2 linked regions of the Callithrix jacchus genome follow. Each later gene encodes a partner of the first gene's protein in a complex. Links are inferred from orthologs where the notes say so. Each region holds a gene or a part of one and is shown on either strand. Other genes may lie near its edges. The genes, in order: TNNT2 and TNNC1.

Region 1 (3,801 bases):
GGAGGAGTGGAAAGCACAGGCCTGGAGAGACCATAACAGTGGCTGAACACTTGCTGAGCATTTAGTGGGTGCCAGGCTCTGTCCTGAGCGCTTTCCCAGATATGAACCCCTAGGGCTGCTGCGAGGACATAATAAGTTAATACATGGGAAATTCTCAGAACAGTGGTCAGAACACTATAATAATGATAATAATGAGTATTATTATCTCTGTCACCCTCACCATCACCCTCCGAAGTAGGCTGTAGTGTTACCTGTGGAAATGGAGGCAAGCAACCGTGGACTAACTCAGCCAAGGTCACACAGCCAGTGAGGGGCACAGGTAGAAACTCAGCCCAGGCACTATGGCTCTGAAGTCCATGCCACTGTGGCCAGGCAATACAGCCTCTCTCCGTTTTGGGAGGTAGGAGCACCCTCCAGCCACTGGTGCCTGAGTCTACCCAGGGAGGGGCTCCTTGCCCAGGGAGGAGTGGTTTGGCAGGAGCAGCAGAGGAGACCCTCCAGGGGAAGCTGAATTCTTCCCTTAGTTAGCAAAGAGGCCCCGGGCAGGGCGGGGTTTGGAGGCGGTGGTGGCAGGGAAGGGCTGGCGCCTCTCTGAGCTCAGGTGTGCAGCATCAGTGTCCTCTAAGCCATTTCCTTGCCTGGTGTTTGTTCACCTAGGACCCTAGTTAGTGCACACAGGACCCTGAAAGGCTGTGCACTTGAGGCTCAGCCTGACTGCCTGCACCAGGGCCTTGGGTGTCCGTGGGGAGAAGTGCCTCCCCGGTGGCAGCCCTCCCCCTCCACTGGGGCTCCTAGCTTGGTGCATCCCGGTTCTTGTATCCAGCTCACTGCTCTGAGCTGCTGCCTTGACATGTTGGAGACTCCCAGGGTTGGAACCCCAGGAAAGTGTCTCTGCTCAGCCCCAGCAAGCTCTCAGACACTTCCAGCAAGCAGTCGCCAACACGGTGGACACGGAACCCTGCTGAAGGCCAGACAGCAGGGGCAGATGCAGGAGCTGAAGGGGGTTGGCGGGGAACAGGGACAGGGACCCAGTGACCTGCAGCAGTATTGCTCGGCCCAGTGAACCAGGAGCATGTGACAGAGGGGCTGTGGGGGGAACAGCATGGCGCCCCACCTCGTATTTCTGCTGCTTGAACTTCTCCTGCAGGTCGAACTTCTCTGCCTCCAAGTTATAAATGCTCTGCCACAGCTCCTTGGCCTTCTCCCTGCAGGGGCAAGGGCTGGTAAAGAACAGCCCTCATGGGACGCTGTCCTGGTCCTGGCCCAGCCCCAAGGGTCCCAGCCCCCATTCCCGCCTCCAGGCTTGCCGAGGGTACCCCAGCCCACCCCCTGGGCCTGGCCCAGCCTGGGGACCAGCAGCAGCTCAGGAACAGACACCAGGGGCTGCCAGGGTAAAGTTCTGAGAACACGCGGGCAGCAGGAGAAGCCCTTCTGGCACAGGACAGCATCTAGTTCAACCCCCGTCCTGACACCCCTGTGCAGGTGGGGAAGATGAAGCTCAGAGAGATGGGGTACCTGCTCACTTCTCTTTGCCCATCAGCAAAGCCCAGAAAGGAGCCGGCCCGACCTGCTGGGGGGCCCAGCGCTGGTCCCTCCAAACTTGCCATGGGAAAATATGTGAGGCAGTTGCGCCCTCTGGTGGCTCACAGCAAGAAGTGCCCTCAGCCCAACTCCCCCCCCACCCCCACCCCAACACACCCACCAGATGCGGGCTGTGCCCCAGGACCACTCCTCCCAGCCCCCACCTCAGCTGATCTTCATTCAGGTGGTCGATAGCCAGCACCTTCCTCCTCTCAGCCAGAATCTTCTTCTTCTTTTCCCGCTCAGTCTGCCTTTTCCCACTTTTCCGCTCTGTCTAAAGGGGGTGGGAAGCAGAGAAAACTGGCTAGACTGCCCCCTCCCTGTCCCCTAACCCTCCCCGAATCCTCTGGGGTGTGGAGCAAGCCTGCAGGAGGGCCAGGTTCTTACGCTCTTTTTCCTGCCATACCACGCACTACCAACTACATGCATTCTCTGGGGAAACTGAGGCAGGAGCAAGGAGGATCACGTCAGCCTCTTCCTCCTTTACTTAACTAACCTCTTCCACCTCTCACCAGCCTCCCCCCTCCCCAGCCAGCCCAATCTCTACACTCCTCCCCTCCAGCAAGGCACCTTCCCCTCCCAGGGAGTTCCGGACAACTACGGGGAGGAAGAACGTTTGAGGTTTTGGTACCCACCTGGGCCTGCTAAACCGGGAAACCATGAGAGAGAGGCCCAGAGAAAAAGACCGAGACCGCAACAGAGACACAGAGAGAAGGCGGAAGACAAAGGGAAGAGAGATACGGAAGAGAAGATTCAGACACTCGCTGTAGGCAGCCGGGCTTACTAGGACCTGGGTCTGGGGTTCACAGCAGCCTCTGTGGGGTGATGATGCCAAAGTCTTGGCTGGTGTGGTCACCATGGGGGCAGAGGCAGGGGTGGCCTAGTTCTGAGCTGGGGACTAAGCTGGAAATCTAAGGAAATGTTTTGATTCCATCACTACCTAGAGAAAATCAAGTTCACATAGCCCTGCTCCCTTAGGAACAGAGGATGTAGGAAGAATGGCCCACAAAATTAGGGACTGAGAGTGAGTTTCCAAGAACAAACAACCTCTGTGTGGCACGTAGATACTTTCCATGGTAGCTCATTTGAGCTTCTCAAACCATCGAGGCAATGAGTGCCGGGTGAGGAAACCGAGGCTCAGAGGTGCAAAAGGTCACGCAACTGTATGTGGCAGAGTGGGTTCTCCAGCCAGAGCTCTGACTCTTAGCACAAGGCTTTTCCAGCTGCACCCATCCTCCCTGGGGGCTCCTGAGCACTGCTGGGGCCAGATATGTGGTGCACCATTGGTGCTCCAGGCTCTGCCTGTAGCCCCTACCCTAGCAGGCCCCTCCTAGTGCAAGCCACACTCAGGCTGAAAACCAGCTCAGGGCCTAGGCATGAGGAGACATTAGTCTCCCACCTGCAGCAGCTGGGAATCTCTTCCTGGGTTCTGATCTAAAGTCTACCTGCTGCAGTGGACAGCTCATTCTTCAGGGCTATACCAGGTCCTCCTGGGGACCCCTGCTGCTCCCCACCTACCTTCTGGATGTAACCTCCGAAATGCATCATGTTGGACAAAGCCTTCTTCTTCCGGGCCTCGTCCTCAGCCTTCCTCCTGTTCTCCTCCTCCTCTCGCCGAGCCCTCTCTTCCTGATTTACAGGGAGGAGGAAGAAAGCAAATTAGGGAAAGGATGGGAAACCGTAATTCTGGGCTGAAGCTCTTGGTCTTTATGGGTGAGTTCAGCCTTCTCCCTGCTGGGTAAGGAGTTTTCTGAGGGGGTAGCTCCCAGCACAGCACAGGAGTCCACTGAGTGAGAAATGATGGCACGAATGGATAGGTCCTGATGCCCTAATGCGAGGTCTCATCATCCCCTCAAGCTGGGAGTGCCCCAGGAAGATCTGTTGCTCTGGAAATGCCTTAAGCAGCTGCACAGGAAGAGAGCTACAGGGCCTTCAGTCTGCACTGGGGAAGGGGTGAGGACTGGAGAGTCTTATCAAACCACATGTTCATAAGGACCAGCCATTCCGCTCTTGTTTGCTGATGTATTATCGGAGCCAAGACAATGCCCAGCACTTCCTAGGTTGATGTTGTCTCTTGATTGAATTCATGTTGATGAATAGAGAGGGGCCTGGGAGCCCAGCAGGAGCTGGGAGCATGGTGGGGGGCTCTGTGGGCCCAGGCTGGGCGTCACTCACAGCCAGGCGGTTCTGCCGCTCCTTCTCACGCTCATTCCGGATGCG
Region 2 (3,901 bases), on another chromosome or scaffold:
AGGGTCAAGGTCAGGGGTCAAGGGTCACGTGCTCACTTGTCAAACATGCGGAAGAGGTCAGACAGCTCCTCCTCAGATTTCCCTTTGCTGTCGTCCTTCATGCACCGAACCATCATGACCAGGAACTCATCAAAGTCCACTGTGCCACTGCCTGGGAGGCAGTTACAGAGGCCAGGTTGGAAACTGCAGGTGACTCAAGCCCAAAGAGTGGCCACAGAAGCCTGGCATTTGGTGTGAGGATGCAAATGCCAGGCTTCTGTGGCCATTATGCCCATTTTCTAGATGAAGCAACTGAGGATCGGAGGGGCTAAACCACTTCCGGCTAAGCAGAGCCAGCATCCCAGCCCCACGCTGGCTGGGCTTCCTCTAGAGCCTGGGGAGGAGGGGCTCACCATCCTCGTCCACCTCGTCGATCATCTCCTGCAGCTCCTCAGGGGTGGGGTTCTGGCCCAGCATCCTCATCACCTTGCCCAGCTCCTTGGTGCTGATGCAGCCATCCTCAGCGCCCAGCACGAAGATGTCGAAGGCTGCCTTGAATTCTGTGTACAGAGGTTGGGGGGCACAATAGCCAGGGCTCAACAGCCAGGACCTCAGAGGGCCAGACTCCTGGGGCCACCTGCCAACCTGCCCACCTCCCTCAGAGACCTCTCTGAGATCAGAGCAGAGGGACCTAGCCTTTGGTCTCTGGTCTGTGCTCCTCTTCTGGTAAGGGGTCCCCACGTTCCCCAGCCTGGTCTCCCAACCTGGCCCTGGTGGTCTCCCGCACGTGTGATAGGGGTTCTCACCATTTTTCTGCTCTTCTGTCAGCTGCTCTACCTAGAAAGGAAAGGGACTCTCAGGGCTCAGCCTCACACATAGCTGCTGCTGCTGAAACCAACCCATTCCACAGGTGAGAGCTGCAGCTGGGGAAAGCAAGCTATTTCCAGGCCACAGAACAGAGGTCTCAGTCCTCCCTCCCTCCCCACAAAGCCCTGATGTGCCCCAGCTAGCCTCACTAAGACTGGGCTCAGGGCCAGTGTGACAGGTGGGCACCCCCTTCAGGGCCAAGGTGACCCTCAGTAACAATAGTCAGTGACCACTCAATACCCTTTTGGCCCGTGATGAAACTCAAGCTGGGTGGCCCAAGGAACAGCTGTCCCTCAAGTTGGGACAATAAACCAATGTGGGGGTAGACAAGCTACCCACTGTAACCTGACCAGGGTGGCCACTGGGCTATTTTTAACGAGGAACAAAGTTAAACCTGGTGATTGTTCTGGGGACTTTGGCATGCAGGGGGTGGGGCAGTGTTATCTGGCCCCCTGTCCTACTAGTGCCGCCTCAGGAGCCAAAATTAGTCCCCAGCTCCGCCAGGCCTTGTATGGGCACTGGGTGGAGGGCTGCCCCCACCCCAGCTTCATGGACTCCCACAGGATAAGCAGGCATGCCCCCAGAGCTGGCTGTAGCCCTTCCCTGCCCAGAAGTGAGGGAGGCTGAGGGAGGGGTTCCCCTGGGGACAGCTACCCAGGCCAGGATGTCCTTGTTCTGGGGTAGTGGGAGGTCACCAGCATCCAGGAATGGAACAGCATCTCAAGTCCCTCAGTGACCCAGGAGGCTGCAGGGGCTTGGGGTGACCACTCTCTAGCCCTCATTCCCTCATTCTCACCCCCAGCTAAGCCACTGAGCCCTGAGCCTGCCAGGCACGATGGGGGCTGGGGCCTCAGTTCTCTGTCCCTTCTTCCTTGGTTCTCCCTCATGTCCAAAACTTCCCTGCCTCGAACTTCAAAGCCCCATCTCCAGCCCAGGACTCAGGCCCCTCCCCTCACACCCTCCACCCTCCAAAGCATCTTCGACCAACCAAAGGGCTGGAGTGGAGTGGCAGATTGTGAGTGTGTGAGAAGCAGAATGTGAGGGGCAGAAATGGAGGTTGGGGACAGGGAGACAGTAATAGGGACTCAGAGAGACAACTTAGGAGGAAGAGAGATGAAAAAAGAAAGGCAAAAATGTCCAGAGACAAATGCAGAGACATGTGGCTGAGAGACAGTGCCACAGACTACAGACACTTAGAAACAGAGTGAGACATGATGCTGAAAGTGGCGACCTCCTCCACCACCCTTCAGACCTCAACTCCCACCCCTTCTGCATCTCCAAACACCAGCTTCCCTTCAGACCCTGAGCCCCTACCCCTTCTGCATCTTCAAACATCAGAACCACTGTCCCTGTGAGGGCCTGGGTTGAAGGTACAGAGACTCTCTCCTGGGCCCCCACCGCTTCCTTGGGGCTACCAGCCCCCCATTCTGAGATGAGTGAGCCCCCAGTGGGCCTGCCCAACCCAGCCCTACCCAGCCCTGTCCCTCACCGCAGCCTTGTAGATGTCATCCATGCTGGTGGGTCACACGACAGCCTGCTGGGGTTGCCAGCCGGCCCTCGACTTAAATAGCCCTGCCCCCCCCCCCACACTGCATTCCCAGCCAGCCCAGCCCAGCCCACCCCTGCGTGTAGTATCCTCCAGCCCCTCCTCTGGGCCCAGTGATGTCAGGCTGGCCTGAGTCCCTGCGTCCTCTGCCCAAGGCAGGGAGCAGATGAAGTGCTACAAGAACCAGGTTTCTTTCGCTCCTGTCCCCCACACTCCCCAAGGGACTCTGAAAAGGTTTCTGGAATGAATGAAAGCATGAGCCCAGGGCAGGACAGGAGCCACAAAGTAGTGGGCCCCAGGCAAGGCCCCTGCAACACAGCAGCCCAGGCTCCCACCAACCAGGGAGGCCGGTGCTATGACCCCTACCTTCCAGATAAGGAAGCTGAGGCTCTGGAAGAGTGGTGGCTTGCCCAAGATAGCCCCTGCCTTTAACTCAGCCTCTCTGGAATGGGGTGCAACGTGCAAGTGGGGGTTGGGAGTACAGGGCCCTGCCAAGATAAGCCTCAAATCCCAAGCTCAGAGGACGATGCTAACCCACCTTAGGGCAGGGTAGTCAGGAGCCCTTCTGCCAGAGGCGCCTGCCCCAGACCTTCCATCTGCCCAGGGAGAAGTGCCCCCTTCGGGCTTCAGTCAGCTGTTCTGTAATTCAACAGCACCCCCACAGATGCCCCATCTGTGCCAGGCTCTCTCCCTCCTCACCCTCCAGTCAGGTTACCACCTCCCTCTTCTAGGTCTCATCTTCCCCTGGTTTAGGACTCAGTTCCCTATTCTAGCACTGTAGTTCGTGGGTCCAGGTCAACGTGTCTCCCTCCTGTTTTGAACTCTGACAGGCCATCCCGTGAGGTTCCTGTACCCATTGGCAGCACACACCCCTCCCACCTCCGTCTCCGCCCTCCTTCGTACAGAGCCCCGTCTTGATAAACACGTTCCTTGCTTCCAGCACTACTGCATGCCAGGCCCCGCATGAATCAACCCACTCCGTTGTCAAGAAGCCCCACTGACAAGAGCTCTCCGAGTCTCGGAGAGGTTCAGAACCGGCCCAGAATCACTCTCGCCCTACTCCAGCGATAAGCACAGGTTCTATTTCCACCTCCAGCCCGTCTTGCCCTAAAGAGAAAGAGCCCAACAGCCAAGTGAGGCGCCATTATGGCCTCCTTTATCCGGAGGAGTAAACTGAGGCCAGGAGGAGCAGTGACTTGCTTCGTGTTGCCTGGAGGCTCGGGACCTTCTGTCCTCTCTTCCTGAGAGACTAAGGGGCGATTCCCAGAGCGGTCACCACCCGAGAGGTCAGTTTCTAGCAGGCTGCGCAGGGTACCGTTGGTGGCCCCACGCAGGTAGAGATTACGCAAGAAAGCGCTGCGCACGCGCGCCGTGGGCGGTGCCTGTCAATCACGCACGAGGGGCGGGGAGAAGGCTCTGGAAGGCGGCCGGACTAAGATGGTGGCACAGCGCGCGGTGGGGGCGTGGGGCAACGGGGGCTGGGGGGCGGTGGGACGTTGACCCCGCCCC

The links.
Region 2: the proteins of TNNT2 (region 1) and TNNC1 are in contact, whole or in part, in a crystal structure (PDB 1J1D), measured with the Homo sapiens proteins. The link is inferred for Callithrix jacchus from reciprocal best matches to the Homo sapiens genes TNNT2 and TNNC1. Residues at the interface, in NP_001263274.1 of Homo sapiens: Gln266, Tyr269, Asn272, Val273, Asn276, Arg277, Asp280; in NP_003271.1 of Homo sapiens: Asp99, Phe101, Arg102, Asp105, Ala108, Asp109, Gly110, Tyr111, Arg147, Tyr150, Asp151.

What each region holds. Positions count from the first base shown.
Region 1 is NC_133520.1:28,373,871-28,377,671, forward strand, and holds part of TNNT2 (troponin T, cardiac muscle), read right to left. Parts: coding exon 3,757-3,801; intron 3,211-3,756; coding exon 3,100-3,210; intron 1,856-3,099; coding exon 1,746-1,855; intron 1,206-1,745; coding exon 1,115-1,205; intron 1-1,114. UniProt on the Homo sapiens protein: Troponin T is the tropomyosin-binding subunit of troponin, the thin filament regulatory complex which confers calcium-sensitivity to striated muscle actomyosin ATPase activity.
Region 2 is NC_133516.1:34,982,436-34,986,336, forward strand, and holds the start of TNNC1 (troponin C, slow skeletal and cardiac muscles), read right to left. Parts: upstream 2,386-3,901; 5' UTR 2,360-2,385; coding exon 2,336-2,359; intron 817-2,335; coding exon 786-816; intron 540-785; coding exon 393-539; intron 152-392; coding exon 37-151; intron 1-36. UniProt on the Homo sapiens protein: Troponin is the central regulatory protein of striated muscle contraction. Tn consists of three components: Tn-I which is the inhibitor of actomyosin ATPase, Tn-T which contains the binding site for tropomyosin and Tn-C.